3 linked regions of the Schizosaccharomyces pombe genome follow. The protein of the gene in region 3 binds, or shares a complex with, the protein of the main gene of each other region. Each region holds a gene or a part of one and is shown on either strand. Other genes may lie near its edges. A codon is read from its position in the direction of its gene.

Region 1 (6,283 bases), on a different chromosome or scaffold from region 3:
TCCCCGAATCGGGATTTTGTACGACAATATCTTAACTTGAAATCATGAGGAATCAACACTGTAGAAGTAAAATAACTGTTTAATAACAGTGCGATCTTACCTTTATCCTATACTATTTTTCCTATTTTCTTTTTGCATCTGCGTTTATTGAGTGAAGTGAAAGAGGTATTTATTCTACTTAATAACATGAATTTGAACTGACAGAGATCCAATATATAACAAACAAGATTCCTATACTCGTTTAAAAAGGATTTGAATAAACTGTTTTTAGGATACTGTTCTATTTACTTATTTATTTTCAGGCAAAAAAATAGTGCCGCGTGAAAGACCCTCTTTTGCTTTTCCCGATTGAATACATTATACAATTAAAATCCTTTTTTGCTAAAAGATTGAATTTAACCAGCGATTGATTGTTTTTATACGTTCGAGAGTTTCATCTCCGTTTTTATTAACTTGCAAGATCATTCACAAGACGAAAAATCCTTGATCGAATAACATTACTTTTTGCTTATTAAGTTGAACTGTTCAGATTTATAGATGACTAGCCTTGACTGTTCAATTGCACTTAAACAAGCAATCACTTTAATTCACTTCGATCGTTTCGGTATAAGACGCACTTCAAATCCTAAGGGTAGTCGACTCTATTAAATTTATAAATTTGTTAGCATAAATATAACATTATTCTGAATTGCCCTAATAGCGAGTCATGTATTCTCTTATACCAATTCCAACGCCTAAATCCTCTTAGTTCTCTTTCGTTATAATCGTTGTTCCTCTTTTCAATTTCTGAATATTATAAGCGCATGATTCACGAAATTTCATAGATTTTGTAGAGGACTTTTACACAGTGTCTTCTCCTCTATTCAGGTCTGCAACTTTCTAGCTAACATACACACCCTTTTCATCTAAACGAATGCCTTTTATTTTTAACATTTTTAAATCAAACCAAGGAGACTAGATAAATAAAATAAAAAAAAAAGAAATCAAGATCTTAACTAGATTGCAGTTTATGTTCGACGAAACTTTGGCCATTTTAAGAATTTGCCTAAGAGCTTAGGAAAAAAATAAATCTTATCCTAAAACAAAATACTTTTATCGGTTTGTCCGCAGTTAAATATAACTTCCTAATTCCTATTTCCAGTCTTTTATTTACATTTAACCATATAACGTTTTCCAACGCATCCGTTATATTTTTCATCTAATTTAGATGAATTTTCCAACTTTCACAAGTTGTCTTCTTCCAGCAGCTTTACGTTGTTGAATTAATTGGTTCTTTTGTTTTCTTTCTTCGCTTACAGAAAAATTTGGAATTGCTTGTCTTTCTGGAAATAGATCGGTTCAAGTTTAAGGGATTTTTTTGGTTTGCTATTGAATTTGCACTTATTCGAGTATAGACTTGTCAATAAGATGAAGGTAATTTGATTTTTTTTGTTCTAACAAGGAGACCCAACCTATGGAAAATAAATAGTAGTATTGGGATATATTGACGAGTTTAGGATTGGGTCTTTCCTTTGTTGTATTGCTTTTAACTGTAAAAGTCGCCGTTTCTAGGGCTATGAAGCTTAAAATTAATACATGATACTAATACTATTTTAGATTTATCCTGACTTGAAACAAGTTCAAGAGCTTGCTGAAAAGCACAAGGCTAACAAGATTCCCATTTATGGAGTAATCCCTGCCGATATGCTGACTCCTTCAGTAGCCTACTTGAAGCTTAATCAAGGAAAGAAGTATTCGTTTATTTTAGAAAGTGTCACTCAAGGAGAGAGTGTCTCAAGATACAGTTTTATTGGCAGCCCTTATAGAATATTAATGGCCAATGGAAAAACAGATCCTTTGGCACGTTTAGAACGTGAGTTGAAAGAAGTTAAAACAGCCCCTGTTGAGGGTCTGCCATCTTTCAGTGGAGGTGCTGTGGGCTATGTTTCTTATGATTGCATCAAATATTTTGAACCCACTACTGAAATGCCTTTAGAAGATACCTTGGGTCTTCCGGAGGCTATGTTTTTCATGACCGACGATTTAGTCGCTTTCGATCATGCTTATCAGACTGTCAAGATAATTTCTCATGTTTGCATTCAGCAAGGCCGACCCATTGAAGAGGCTTACGAAGCTGCCGTTTTCAAAATCAATATGCTTAAAAAGAAACTTGAAAGTCCTGAAATTCCTTTGCCTGAGCAAAAGAAGGTCCATTTAGGATACGAAGCTAAGTCAAATGTAGGCGAAGACGGGTATAAAGCATTTGTTTCCAACCTCAAGGAACATATCTTTAATGGCGATATTTTCCAAGCTGTCCCAAGCCAACGGATTGCTAGGCGTACAGATTTACATCCTTTTAATTTGTACCGCCATTTAAGAACAGTTAACCCGTCCCCTTATATGTTCTACATCCACTGTGATGATTTCGACATAATCGGTGCTTCCCCTGAATTACTGGTTAAATCAGAGCATGGGCGTATTATCAATCATCCCATTGCCGGAACTGTTCCAAGAGGAAAAACTAAAGAAGAGGATGAGGCATATGCCAAGGATTTACTTGCTAGTGTCAAGGATAGAGCTGAACATGTAATGCTGGTGGACTTGGCAAGAAACGATGTCAGTCGTGTCTGTGATCTCGACACAACAAGTGTTGACAAGTTGATGACTATTGAAAAGTTTTCTCATGTTCAGCATCTTGTTTCTCAAGTTTCTGGTGTTCTGAGACCTGATAAAACTCGTTTTGATGCATTCCGTAGTATATTTCCGGCTGGAACGGTCAGTGGGTCTCCCAAAGTCCGTGCAATTCAGCTCGTTTATGGATTAGAGAAAGAAAAGCGTGGTATATACGCGGGAGCCGTAGGTCGTTGGGGCTATGAAGATGACAACATGGATACTTGTATAGCAATCCGTACAATGGTTTATAAAGACGGAACTGTTTATTTGCAAGCCGGTGGTGGTATTGTGTTTGATTCAGATGAACAAGATGAGTACGTGGAAACTTTAAACAAACTACGTTCAAATGTTACTGCAATTGAGGAAACCGAAAAATTATACGCTGAAGAAGAAAACTCTTCAGCATAAAAGTAAAGGAGACGCTTTCGGTTCTCGTTGTACATGTTATTTTAAAGTGTTGAGGTTTTTAAAAACTTTTTTGTTGTCTTTATTTTTGGTAAACGAATAAAACATCGTTATAAAAAATTGTATTCTGTAATCTCGTTGTCCACTTGTAGCAACTTTGTCTATTCATTGTGAGCATGGTGAGCCGATATAAACTTTCCAACAAAGAGTTCAAGAGGCAATCACCGAAAATTAAAAAGATATCAAAACGACAATTCCGAAAGTGTTCTCTTTCACGAAATTATCTAAAGCTATAATAAATCCAAGTGAAGAAGAACAAAATTATGATATGAGGGAGGAATATATATCTCTATATATGCATATCAATACGTACAATATGTTGTAGCCAAAAGCCAAAAAAAAAAGGATTAGATAAAAATGTGTAAGGTATGACATGAACGGACGCAGGCCATAAATTAAAAACTTTTAGATGATTAAAAAAACGCATCTAGAGTATTTTTTATAACAACAAACATATAAAGGATGAAAATGGATAATTTTTAGAAAAGAATTGAAGCATAGTCTACCACGTGTTTTCTTCACCATTTTGATAGGGAGACCAGTTCATTTCTGCATTCTCCTCCATATTCAGTTCGTTAGCAGAAAGTTGAGTAGGCTGCTCTTCGTCGAGATCACGAACTAAAACTGCAAGCTTTTCCTGAAGAATTCGTAAACCTTGAACCATTATTTCATTGGGTGGTATAGAACCGACACTTTCGACATCCATATAAAACCGACGCGGTTCCTCTTGGAAGTTGAATGGTTCGCCTTCCCGCGGTGGTTCTTCCCAATCGGCATTTTTGCTTTTTGGCCACTCTGCATCTGCATCATTCTCAAACCAGTAATCAGTATGCTGTAACTTGTTCCATGGATCGTATTCAAATGCAACAGCTGAAGTAGGTGACCACTTAGCATGTTCTTTAGCTATACCCTTCTTGGCAATGCAACGCAGAGAAATTTCCTGCTCTTTTCTGAGTTTGCAAATAAGCGGTCCGCGTGATTTTGGATCGGCGAGAATAGGGTGTCCAAGAGAAGAGTTAGAAGAAACAACAAGATCTCTAGCATAAATTTCCATCGTACCCTCACCAGTACATTTGGCATTTAGGAACAACTCGACTGAACACTTGGGACAATACTGATCGCAATCGCAATTGCGCGTATATTCCAAACCTACTGGAGGCGGTTCATCGATGTTGGAGCTATCCAGAGGTATCATACCAAGACGATGTGCTAGAAACTCATCAGGCATGACTGAGGTATTCACATTAATTTCAACTAGGTCAATGGCTAAAACATCATTAGTATTTAATTCAAGAATGAACCTAAATCTTACCCACTGTTGGAATCTCTGCAAGTACAACACGTCGCAGCGAGTTTGCAACTCTTTCAACTATTAGAAGGAATTTCCTAGAGCTTTTCACTTACGCCAAACTTGTATTTGTAAGGACAAAATCCACCGAGTTTTTACTTATATTTCGTATCGTAATATGCGTTTCTGAATCCATAATGAGAATGTGTCGTTTGGTCTATGCTTGTTGCAGAATTTCATACTCATTTCTCCCATTCCGCACTGTTAGGTGATCCCTTATTTAGCATAAGGACACACTAAACTACGTTAAATGCGAGATCAAGGAACTCGCTTTTAAAGAGAGCAAGCAACAATTGACAAGAGAGTACGAATCTACGGCATTAGGCTTAATTCATTAATATTTATATTCTCTGTTCATCCCGACAGAATATTTGAATAAAAACATATTGTTTCAAACTCTTTCATTTTTGTTTGGCTGATTATTACTACAACTTTACATTTTCGCCATGTCTAGCATAGGCGGTAAATTACAAAAATCTTTGCACAAGATTCGTGCTGGAGCTTTAGGGATTCCTTTACCAAAACATATTCAGGAAGTATCTATTCAATATTCTTTAGACAGCCGTTTGGGACATATGGGTGCTAAGTAAGTTTTGTTTATTCGTGTTAGAATCATCGATGTTGTCTATGTACTGGTACCTCAAACATTTTATGCTCAATTCATGTTTAATTCTCTCAAATAACTGCTTGATAATACTTTGTGTGAGGAAGCACTGATCTACGATTCCGTTTCATGCGTTGTTCATTGCTAACGTTTTAAATTCTAGAAAATTTGTAAAAGAATGTCTTCCTTCATTGTATTACAACAATTACGGCTTGAAGTTTAACGTTAATCACCGTTTACCGAACGATCAAACTCCAACATTTTCCATTATCTCAAACAACAAAGTAATCTATTCGTACGACATGCGGTCAAAACAGCTGGAAACAATTTCTTCCGATATTCAAAAAGCGCTTAAAGAACTTCATCACGAGTCATCCCCGGAAAACATTAAGGAAGCGCACAAACAAGATTATTCACCTCCTTCTAATTAAGCAAAAACGCTTTTAAAATTACTTTTTTTCAGTGAACAAAATATGCATCTTTTTTTTTTCTAAAAAACCTTTAGTTTTGCTGCAGTCCGTTTACTGTATTCCTTTGTTTGATGATCCATAAACCTACAATTCCCTATTTTCTTTTTTATTTAAAAAAGTTGTTTGAGTGAAAAAGAATGCTATCTTGAATACGAGCTTTAGTCTAAAAAATACATCGGCTTGCATTAAGATTTTTCTATCCTTGAACGAGAGCGTAAATGCCGTAAAATAAAAGAACAAAGAATGACCGAAATATTCTAACTTGGTATAAATCATATTTGTTGATTGAGTTCTTTGAAAAAGTTTTTGTACATGATTATGAGGGAATGAACTAATGATCGTTTGGTATGACAAAATAGCGTTTCTCCTCTTACTTGATCGTATTTTTCCTAAAGAAATAAAATTTCTGCCAACTTTGTTTATATCCATAATGCAAAATTCCTGCTGCAGTTTATTAGATATTGAGGTTTTTTTTCGGTCAGTGGAGGAAAGTGAACAAATTTGATTGTAGAGTTTAAAAATGGTTGAAATTGTGATCATATCAAATAGCCAACCATCTAAATTACGAAGTACAATATCTTTTTTACAATATCCTCTTACCAAACTCTTCGGGTTTCTGTTAACGATGAGCATGTACTTGTAAACGATTCAAAGTTTAACTGAACAGAAGATGTTATCTAACTTTATCTTATTAAGAGAAATTGTACAAAAAAAAACAGAGTGTTTAAGTTGATGTTTGAAAAG
Region 2 (3,253 bases), 3.9 Mb from region 3:
TCTCTTTGTTTACGTCTTCAACACTTGTACTACTACTATCCGTTTCATTCATGACAGAGTAAGTTGGGGTCCTACGAACTTCTGTAGAAAAAGGAAGAAGAGACTGATGATCATCAAAACTGGAAGAATTTGATAACGTTTGATCATAAGGGAAACTATCGCCATCTTCAGCATCCTCAGATTCAGCAAAAGAAGGGGCCGTAGACGAGATGTTACTGCGATTAAAATTTCTCATTGTACTTTCTCGAGATATCGATGCGATTGTAGAGGCATAGTCAGAACATTCGTAATCAGTACTTGGGATGGGAGAAGGAATTCTCAATGCTCTATGGATGTCAGCTAAATACATTTTAGCATGCTGATCCTGTTGAGAAGCAGTCATCAACATTATGGAAAGCCTTGGAATTTAACAGCTCTGCTGAAATTAGAATATAAAAAAAAATAAAGGCACAAAGAATTAAGGGTTTTTATTTAATTGGTATTCGGATTACAAGGCTATTCCGTATGGATTATTGTATACAAATAACTGAAACAGTTTCAGTATATTCCAGAAGGTACACCGAATGTGAAATAAAGAAATTCAAGTGTTTTGGTAGGCGCGTTGCTTAATATAAAGGAAGGAGGCGAGCATATGATTGAGAGGCTGGTAAATCCATTTTCGGCAAAGGTGGCTGGTATCACTCGAAAATCCAGTTTTCCAGCACAGAAGCGAGAGAGTGGTTACATCAAGCGGATCATTTAAACCGAAGTCTAAGAGCCATTGGTGGACGCAGCTAGTTTTACAATCCCTTGTTAGACCGAATTGTCGCATATTACTGTTCTTCAAAAGCAAATCCACAATGTACGCAAACATAAATCAGAGTCTAATTAAGTCAGTAAAATTGTTTTTAAACCTAAATATTAAAATTGTTTTCTCAATGAAACAATGCGAAACACACCATCATAGTATCACCCCGACGAGAATGAGTCTGATAAAAAACTGCTTCATGTTGATGACAACGCGGGCATTCTTTGTCTGATCTAGGTAAAGTAGGGTCCGTTGAAGCGTCGTGACTGACCGTCGTGTTTTCTCTACAAATTTAGTGATTATTCGAAGGATGAAATCTAACTTACACATTGGAGCTTTGTAACTCATGGCGATAAACTTTACTAGTAGCAGCGATCTATACAAATTAGCTGATGAGATATTTAAAACTTCCAAATGATGAGGAAAAAAGTAATCGAAAAGAACTTCGAATTTTTTTCTTGAAGTGAATAAACCCAGTAGGAGAAAAAAACAAGCTTACCTCTGAGTAATCACAATTACGACAAGCTAGCCTCAGAACACGATCCACTTTATCCTCTCTAGGGTACCTATTTATTTCATGTTAGTGTTTTCAAACAATTTTCAGTGTCATCTTTTTGAGAAACTAATCCGTACAGCATATTATTGCATTCTATACAATATTGAAAATTTGACATTTTAAAAAAGCAAACAAAAGTATTTTACTTCAACGCAATAAACTTTCAAAAGAACGTGGTGGTTAGTGGATATGGAAAATACAGTGGACAACAGCGTCCTGATGGTTCACATCTATAAGTTCGAAAAAGCTTTTGTTTATCTACAACGTCTCTACAAGATTTCGTTAAAAACTGTGTAGCTGCTTTAAAATTTATTTGCGATATACTTAATATTACTAATTATATAGAAGATATATTGACTTTAACGTGTAGCATTATTCAAACATGGACTAGTCCTACAAACTTGTAACATCATACTTCAGTATCTTACATTATGCACATCAGCGAGTAAAACGGTAATTTACAGTATGAGTTTGATTTTGGAATTAACGATCCCTTAGCATATGCTTTAGTCGAATTTATTTTCGCTTTAAAAGAAGACTACAAAAATAGTTAAACATTTTTAAGCATAACTTTAAAAAATGTCGGGGTTTTGTGTTCTTGGTTGTGGTACAATGGGAAAAGCACTTTTGACTGGAATCTTTGATTCCATTGCTGAAAATGGAAACGATGTTTCTGACGAAATTATCATTCCGAATAAGTTCTATGCTTGTGTCAAATTTCCTAAAGAAAAAGAGGATGTTCAAAAGCTTTTCGGAGATCGTGTTAAAGTTGTAATGGGGGCCAAAGAGAATGCCGAGATGGCTGCGATTAGTAACGTTTTGTTGTTGAGTTGTAAGCCTCAGGCCGCAGAGGATGTTTTGAATTCCCCAAAGATGAAAGAAGCGCTCAAAGGAAAATTAATTTTGTCAATTTTGGCTGGCAAGACCATCTCTTCATTGCAAAGTATGCTTGATGAAAGTACTAGGGTGATTCGCATTATGCCCAATACTGCTAGTCGAATCCGTGAAAGTATGAGCGTAATTTGCCCGGGACCCAACGCAACTGAAGAAGACATAAAGTTTGCTGAATGGGTATTCAATGGCATTGGACGTTCAATGAAACTTCCCGAAAAGCTTATTGATGCTGCTACCGCTGTATGTGGAAGTGGACCTGCTTTTGTTGCTACTATGATTGAGGCTATGACAGATGGTGGTGTAATGATGGGTATTCCGTTCCCTCAGGCTCAGGAATTGGCTGCCCAAACTATGGTTGGTACAGGTCGTATGGTTTTACAAGGTCAACATCCTGCTATGATTCGTAATGATGTTTCAACTCCTGCCGGATGTACAATTAGTGGTTTGTTGGCATTGGAAGATGGAAAAATTCGAAGCACAATCGCACGTGGTATAGAACAAGCAACCAAGACTGCTTCTGGCCTGGGTAAATGATACTAGCAAATTCATTTTGTGCTATTAAATATCCTGGTTCCAAACATGGATTTGTATATAAAATTCTTGGGTTAGTACTTCTGTTTCCTCTTTAAAGCTAGTTTCGTTATCTAGTTGTATTAAAGCGTTGTGACTTAGTTTCATTCAATGATTCCTCTGTTTAAGCTTGCAATTCTGTTACATTACTAATAATATGCGTATTCGAACAGCGAGATTATATTTCATTAACTTTTTAGAACGTTGTATGCAATTAAACCCATTTCATTGCGATTGCTATCGTAGTGAATTTAGCTAAAGGTATTCAATATTGAAGAAACGTACTATGTTTTGATTATTTTAACATTGTCATAGTCGTACCGATGTAAACAAAATCACCACCATAAACAGCTCCCGTATTTTAAATTTTTATCCTTAATTCGACTCTACTTTTTTTTATTAAAAATACTTAATTGTACAGGTATCGAATCTTAAAATTCAACCTG
Region 3 (5,931 bases):
CCTTTAGGTGAAATAGCTCTCGAAATTCAGTCTTTTTTGAATGAGATTTCGGGAAACCTACAATACATATCTTTGCTGGATCTCCCTGTTCATGGCATGATGGATATCGCAGTAAATTTCTTGTCAACTGGTGATAACAATGAACCAAGTAAAGTTTTCAGCGTATACCCGTTGAAACTCAACAATGCGGAACTAAAGATTAACGAAGTTGAAACCACCATTGATGGTTGTGAAATTTTGTTTGGAAACAAACCCAAGTTAGATTTTGAGTTGGCAATTCGAGATGGTTACCTCGAAATTGGTCTTTTCTGCCAATCGTCTATATTTTCCAAAAGAGAAGCCAGTGTTTTTATAAACAATTTTGTTACAATTATTAAGGAAATTGAACTTTAAATTGAAGCCGAAATTAGGTAACAACTACATTATTATTATATAAATAATATATATATCTGTTAGAACACAATTTAAGTAGCTTATGTAAATAAATGATAGCTTCTTTAAGATCACACCGATCATCCTTCTGTATGTTCATGCTATGTTTATGTATTAATTTATTCAAATAAGCAAAACTACTTATGGTTTTTAGTAAATAACCGCGGTGCAATATTCATCGACATCAATTCTTGGAATAAAAGCTTGGCAGCATACGGTAAATAAACTTGACTAAACCGAGTACGATTTTGACATGATCGGCATTCATATGAGTCTTTTTTGTAACTGGCGATCGCTATCAAACCACAAATATCGCATACTATAACTCGGTACGCATCAGAACAATCAAACAAACGTTCTCGTAATACACTACTACAACCATGAGAAATTTGGCAATCACGTTCCATTTCTCCAAAACGAAGGCCACCATCTCTAGATCTGCCTTCAACGGGTTGACGAGTCAAAATTTGCACAGGTCCTCTAGCACGAGCGTGAATTTTATCGTCCACCAAATGCTTTAGACGCTGATAGTATGTGGGACCAAGAAAAACTTGGGCAACAAGCTTCCTACCAGTATGACCATGGTACATAACTTCAAATCCTCTCGACTGAAAGCCATGTGAACGTAACAGCTTAGAAACCGCTTCAACCGTAACGTCTGTAAAAGGTGTGGCATCACCTTCAAAACCAGATAAAGCAGAAACCTTGCTAAGTTGACATTCGACTAAATGAGCAACTGTCATACGAGACGGAATGGCGTGTGGATTAATGATGATATCAGGAACAATTCCTTGTGCAGAAAATGGCATATCTTCATGACGATATGTCATTCCAATGGTACCTTTTTGACCATGCCTTGACGCGAATTTGTCACCAATTTGGGGTATACGAGTACTTCGCATTCTAACTTTAACAAATTTTAAGCCTTCTTGGTTAGTGGTGACCATTACTTGGTCAACAATACCGCTTTCAGTGCTTCTCAAAGGAGTGGAAACGTCACGCTTTGCATGTAACTGAGTACGTTGACCTAATTCTTCATGATCTAGGGGAATTGGAGCTGTTTTACCAATAATAATATCTTCGCCTGACACTCGAGTGCCAGGAGCAATTAAACCATCATCCTCAAGCTTGTCGTACGTACCGTGTTTCATCCTTAGGGTTGTAGACCGGACCGGCCGTTCAAACTCCTCCATAACAGTCATGCCAATTTTCTTTTCTTGGTCCGTGTACGTTCTGTAGAAAATACTGCGGAATAATCCTCGATCAATACTAGCTTGATTCATAATAATGGAGTCTTCTTGGTTATAGCCACTATAACATAGAATGGCGACAATAGCATTCTGGCCAGCAGGAAGTTCACGGAACTTTAGGTACTCCATCGATCGAGTAGTCGCCAACGGCTTCTGTGGATAGTATAGGATATTTGCCATGGTATCCATTCGTACTTGGTAGTTTGTAAGATAAACTCCCATAGCCTGTTTACCCATTGCAGATTGATAAGTATTACGAGGTGATTGATTATGATCAGGAAAAGGGATAATACTAGCAAGGATGCCAAGAATCATCGCAGGATGTATTTCACAATGGGTCCAAGCATGCACATGAGGATTAGGAGCTGGCTTAACTCTTTGTGCAGGATCCAGTTCTTCCTTAACTTCATACCCAGCTTGCATTTGACGTGATGCTTCAAGATCTTCCGGACTCATTGCTATCATAACCGTCTCCTCTTCTTCTGCATCTAGATACTCAATGAGACCACTAGATACTAAAGCGGTCCATCCAAAGCGTTGTTCGGGGTCAATGTCATATCTGTCTTTATCCTCTATTAGTTGTTGGATATGCTCTTTACGAATACATAACTCTCCTCTTCTTTCACTATTAGGATTGTTATCCACAATAAATAATGGTCTACAAATACGACCTGCATCTGTAAAGAGACGAAGCTCTTTTTCACGGATATCGCGAACGATACTAACCTCTGCAGATATGTCCAATCTACGACGAAGGCTGCGTAGCGTCTCTGTTAAATGAGCTGGATCACGATGTACTCCTAACCACACACCATTCACGAAGACCTTTGTTGCATTAGGAGACGCTGAAGGGTTGTAATCTTCCAGTGTTTCTAAACCCCATTCTTCTAAAAACTCGATAATTGGAGCACTGGGTGAACCTACGGAAACATAGCTCATTAGAGACAAATTTTTGACTAAGCCGCAAGCTTGTCCTTCTGGTGTTTCAGCAGGGCAAACCATACCCCAGTGTGTGTTGTGCAACTGACGGGGTTTAGCCAATTTTCCGTCTCTACCGATAGGAGTATTTGTACGTCTTAAATGTGATAAAGTTGAAGCGAATGTATATCGGTTAAGAACTTGTGATACACCAACCCGATTAACCATACTGCGTTTTTGGTCTCCCCAATTACCAGTAGCCAATGAATAACGTAAACCATTGGTAATAATGTTTGACTTCACAGCCAGGGTAAGGTTGAATTCACGATTTGTTTCAACGCATTTCTGCATATACTTATACACATCGCGAGTCATTTTACGAAAGAGCATACGGAACAGAGATGCAAGTAATGGACCTGCAAGGTCAAGACGCTTTTTCCCGAAATGATCTCGATCATCTGGTTCACGACGCTCTAACGCACACAAAAGCATACGATGGATCATGTAACCTAAGAAAAACGCCTTTCTAGTCTCAAAACCTTCCATTGTAGTAATATGCGGAAGCAGCTCTTTCTGTAAAATGTCATGGGCATATCGAAGACGTTTTTCACGCGTAACACCAGTAGTACTGCCTCTTTTACCAATGTAATCCAAAGCTATATCTTTATCTTGAATCACAAATGCTTCTTCGATACAGGGCTTCATCATTTCAAGCATTTGGAAATCATTTGGGTCGTAGCATATATGTTCCAAAATATCACGATCAGGTACAACTCCAAGAGCACGGAACACGATGACGATAGGAATGTCACTCCTGATATATGGAAGTGTTGCTCTAATTGTCTGACCAGAATTCTCAGTATTACGTGCCATTAACTTAATCTGCATAGAAGAAATAAGCCTACTACCTCGTTCCAAAGCAGAGCGAATTTCAGCAACGTAAGCGATGGGGCTCGGAGCGGCTTTTTTAAATACTTGTACAATATTGGCAGCAGATCTCTCTTGAGCAATGATTACCTTTTCAGAGCCATTGATAATAAAGTATCCTCCCTGATCATAAGGGCACTCATTCAAATCGTACAATTCAGAATCACTAACACCATTTAAAATGCAAAAAGTAGAACGGAGCATGATTGGTATCTTTCCAATAAAAACTTTTGAGGGTTCTTCATCCTCTTCTTCAACAAGCCACTCCTCTTCGCCGATGGGAACATTAGAATCGGCAGCAACCATAACTTTTTTACGCATGTCAACGTATAAAGGAGACGAGTAAGTCAAGTTACGAAGCCTCGCCTCTTGAGGAAACATAGTAGTTGTACTACCATCAGCTTCAGTCATTGTAGGCCTTGAAAGATAAATCTGTCCAAAATTTATTTCGTATCGACGTGTAACATCTCCTTGAGCACCCGTGTGTTGTGCATATTGATCTAGAGTTAAAGTGGAATCATCATCAACAATTTCTTGCATAGTATTTTGAACAAACTCATCGAAAGAGAACAATTGTTGCCGAGCTAACGACGTTTCCTCAAAAAACGACGAGATCACGGTCCAACAATCCTCCTGAGTCAATGTCTCATTGTATTGATCTATTATGGTGTTAAAAATGACTTTATTAGTAACTTACAATCCTCATAAGACATTGTTGTTGAAATGGCACACGCAACAGGATATGTTGGCGGTGAGGAAGAGGAATAAATGTTGAGGCTACCGTAACAAGGATATCGTACCGTAGTGGCAATTCGACTTTGTGTTCAGTAAAAAAGTCTTTAAGCATCAAAAAAAGAACCAGTTTTTTTATATCTTTTACTTGTTTTAATCATTCAATATAGCTAAGGTACGTGAAAGGCCATTTTCCTTTCAAAGCAATTCGCAACTCTTTCATTATGTGTAAAAGGCTACTTAGCGTGAATTTTTATTAAAAAGGTAAAGGCTTCACTAAACGTAGTTCAATGAGATTTAGTAAAGAAATCATATCTAATAGCACATAAACGAATTTCAATTACTGATTGGGACAAATGGAGAGATTACTAAACATTTAGCAGACACTTTTCTAAATGCCAATAATAAAAATTACCTTCTCTACATAATTAACGACCTTGGTTACTGATAATAATCAACAATACAGGTGAAATACAACAATCTCGGAATCCTTTTATTCCTTCCTTTATGAACTAATTTATTGAAGAAACAACCTTATTTCTTAGGAGCCATACGACGAAGGTAGAAATGTAACTCTTCACCTTCAAGGATGTAGCCGTCGCAACGACCAGATTGACCAGGGCGAGAGGAAACTACAGCATACAAACGGCCAGCAGCAAACTGAGTTTCCAAAGCGGAATCAACCTTAGAATCGCCAAGACGAGCGCTATGCTTACGTTGAACATGCTTGGATTTGGGAGTAGGTGTAGCAGTGGCCTTCTTACCCTTGCTTCCCATCAAAATACCGTAGTGAGTTTCATACCAAACACGGAAAGGAGCGGCATCAATTTGGACGATGGCCGACTTGGTCAAAGTGTTGGTACGAACCAACTCGTTGTTAGAAGGGTGGTAGGCGACTTGAATGATACGAGTCTTCTTGGAAACACCTTCAGAGCCCCAAGAGAAGTTACCAGAGTCAAGACGAAGAGCACGGAACTTCTTGTTTCCACCACGAACACGAACCTCATGGATACGCTTAGGTCCAATACGAGTGTTGGAAGGTTGACGACCCAACTCGAATTTTCTCTTCTTACGGTATTGAGCACGCTTAGCACCGGTAGCAGAGCGCTTGTGGCGGGAATCTCTCGTAATACCCATCCTGATCCTTTTGCAGAAAGAGATTTGCTGTGGTTACGATGAACTAGTATATAACACAGTAACTGAAATTGTTTGGGTTTGGCTGTGACTGTTATTTTTGTTTCATACTACTACTAATACTTTGTACTTAACGAAATTCGGTGTATTCTTACAAAAACCGATACCGTAAGTTAGCGTATTATCGCTTAGCTCTACATTTAGTAAACTGTACAACGATGCTCGGCTCTGATTAAGCTCAATTCATCCCGACAATCTTTAACGAAGTAAACATTGTATGCTCATTAACGAACTAATGGGAGGACTTCGATATTGTAGAATTGGCGTTCTTTTTTTCAATTTGGTATTCTGATTATGATATGCGTAATAGAAAATGATCGCAACCTTTCCAATCATGCCTTCCTTTCTCACTATTCCTTCAACAATTTTTTATAAATACCTATTTACTCAATCCTCTTAGCTACGTACAGGTGTTTTAAGGGATAGAATATTTGGCGAGGGTTTGATTCGGAAAAGTAATCATTGTGACAATTACTAC

The links.
Region 1: the proteins of rpb2 (region 3) and rpb3 are in contact, whole or in part, in a crystal structure (PDB 3H0G), measured with the Schizosaccharomyces pombe proteins. Residues at the interface, in NP_593101.2 of Schizosaccharomyces pombe: Gln775 (codon at 1,880), Tyr786 (codon at 1,847), Tyr787 (codon at 1,844), Ala833 (codon at 1,706), Asp836 (codon at 1,697), Arg837 (codon at 1,694), Gly838 (codon at 1,691), Arg841 (codon at 1,682), Ile843 (codon at 1,676), Arg893 (codon at 1,526), Ile937 (codon at 1,394), Arg958 (codon at 1,331), Ser959 (codon at 1,328), Thr960 (codon at 1,325), Arg984 (codon at 1,253), His985 (codon at 1,250), Glu986 (codon at 1,247), Asp987 (codon at 1,244), Phe990 (codon at 1,235), Ala992 (codon at 1,229), Gln993 (codon at 1,226), Gly994 (codon at 1,223), Arg1049 (codon at 1,058), Gly1052 (codon at 1,049), Phe1053 (codon at 1,046), Gln1054 (codon at 1,043), Ser1055 (codon at 1,040), Arg1056 (codon at 1,037), Phe1058 (codon at 1,031), Glu1059 (codon at 1,028); in NP_588324.1 of Schizosaccharomyces pombe: Leu26 (codon at 4,526), Asn30 (codon at 4,472), Arg33 (codon at 4,463), Arg34 (codon at 4,460), Leu37 (codon at 4,451), Ala38 (codon at 4,448), Val56 (codon at 4,348), Pro58 (codon at 4,342), Asp59 (codon at 4,339), Glu60 (codon at 4,336), Phe61 (codon at 4,333), His64 (codon at 4,324), Arg65 (codon at 4,321), Met68 (codon at 4,312), Lys166 (codon at 4,018), His168 (codon at 4,012), Ala169 (codon at 4,009), Ala176 (codon at 3,988), Val177 (codon at 3,985), Ala178 (codon at 3,982), Phe179 (codon at 3,979), Glu180 (codon at 3,976), Tyr181 (codon at 3,973), Asp182 (codon at 3,970), Trp184 (codon at 3,964), Asn185 (codon at 3,961), His189 (codon at 3,949), Thr190 (codon at 3,946), Asp191 (codon at 3,943), Tyr192 (codon at 3,940).
Region 2: the proteins of rpb2 (region 3) and rpb9 are in contact, whole or in part, in a crystal structure (PDB 3H0G), measured with the Schizosaccharomyces pombe proteins. Residues at the interface, in NP_593101.2 of Schizosaccharomyces pombe: Lys212 (codon at 3,569), Tyr221 (codon at 3,542), Pro279 (codon at 3,368), Asp280 (codon at 3,365), Arg281 (codon at 3,362), Leu284 (codon at 3,353), Phe294 (codon at 3,323), Gln295 (codon at 3,320), Lys301 (codon at 3,302), Ile304 (codon at 3,293), Phe308 (codon at 3,281), Gln311 (codon at 3,272), Leu376 (codon at 3,077), Glu377 (codon at 3,074), Arg378 (codon at 3,071), Arg379 (codon at 3,068), Glu380 (codon at 3,065), Arg603 (codon at 2,396), Ile605 (codon at 2,390), Arg606 (codon at 2,387), Glu683 (codon at 2,156), Val685 (codon at 2,150), Met686 (codon at 2,147), His723 (codon at 2,036), His725 (codon at 2,030); in NP_594705.1 of Schizosaccharomyces pombe: Asn3 (codon at 1,455), Phe4 (codon at 1,452), Tyr6 (codon at 1,446), Asn11 (codon at 1,431), Asn12 (codon at 1,428), Met13 (codon at 1,425), Tyr15 (codon at 1,352), Arg30 (codon at 1,307), Asn31 (codon at 1,304), Tyr44 (codon at 1,142), Glu47 (codon at 1,133), Gln49 (codon at 1,127), Asn52 (codon at 1,118), Asp61 (codon at 1,049), Thr64 (codon at 1,040), Asp65 (codon at 1,037), Pro66 (codon at 1,034), Thr67 (codon at 1,031), Leu68 (codon at 1,028), Pro69 (codon at 1,025), Arg70 (codon at 1,022), Ser71 (codon at 1,019), Asp72 (codon at 1,016), Glu82 (codon at 986), Phe85 (codon at 977), His89 (codon at 965), Ser90 (codon at 962), Arg91 (codon at 959), Arg92 (codon at 956).

Annotation. Positions count from the first base shown.
Region 1 is NC_003421.2:1,782,379-1,788,661, forward strand, and holds rpb3 (DNA-directed RNA polymerase II complex subunit Rpb3), read right to left. Parts: upstream 4,621-6,283; 5' UTR 4,602-4,620; coding exon 4,522-4,601; exon of another isoform or gene 4,480-4,521; coding exon 4,430-4,479; exon of another isoform or gene 4,384-4,429; coding exon 3,620-4,383; 3' UTR 3,061-3,619; coding exon of another isoform or gene 1,597-3,060; 3' UTR 1,414-1,596; coding exon of another isoform or gene 1,408-1,413; 3' UTR 519-1,407; downstream 1-518. Other genes in the region: trp3 (anthranilate synthase component I), read left to right, coding at 1,408-1,413, 1,597-3,060; mrp49 (mitochondrial 54S ribosomal protein mL61), read left to right, coding at 4,912-5,051, 5,233-5,500; SPOM_SPCC1442.11C (uncharacterized protein), read right to left, coding at 5,624-6,172. UniProt on the Schizosaccharomyces pombe protein: DNA-dependent RNA polymerase catalyzes the transcription of DNA into RNA using the four ribonucleoside triphosphates as substrates. Component of RNA polymerase II which synthesizes mRNA precursors and many functional non-coding RNAs.
Region 2 is NC_003424.3:4,750,872-4,754,124, forward strand, and holds rpb9 (DNA-directed RNA polymerase II complex TFIIS subunit Rpb9), read right to left. Parts: upstream 1,535-3,253; 5' UTR 1,462-1,534; coding exon 1,421-1,461; exon of another isoform or gene 1,354-1,420; coding exon 1,287-1,353; exon of another isoform or gene 1,164-1,286; coding exon 1,114-1,163; exon of another isoform or gene 1,072-1,113; coding exon 939-1,071; exon of another isoform or gene 864-938; coding exon 813-863; 3' UTR 519-812; downstream 1-518. Other genes in the region: mid2 (septin ring organizing protein), read right to left, coding at 1-388; pro3 (delta-1-pyrroline-5-carboxylate reductase), read left to right, coding at 1,923-2,771. UniProt on the Schizosaccharomyces pombe protein: DNA-dependent RNA polymerase catalyzes the transcription of DNA into RNA using the four ribonucleoside triphosphates as substrates. Component of RNA polymerase II which synthesizes mRNA precursors and many functional non-coding RNAs.
Region 3 is NC_003424.3:848,985-854,915, reverse strand, and holds rpb2 (DNA-directed RNA polymerase II complex subunit Rpb2), read right to left. Parts: upstream 4,281-5,931; 5' UTR 4,241-4,280; coding exon 4,225-4,240; exon of another isoform or gene 4,187-4,224; coding exon 570-4,186; 3' UTR 531-569; downstream 1-530. Other genes in the region: ferrichrome synthetase Sib1, read left to right, coding at 1-393; rps802 (40S ribosomal protein eS8), read right to left, coding at 4,794-5,396. UniProt on the Schizosaccharomyces pombe protein: DNA-dependent RNA polymerase catalyzes the transcription of DNA into RNA using the four ribonucleoside triphosphates as substrates. Second largest component of RNA polymerase II which synthesizes mRNA precursors and many functional non-coding RNAs.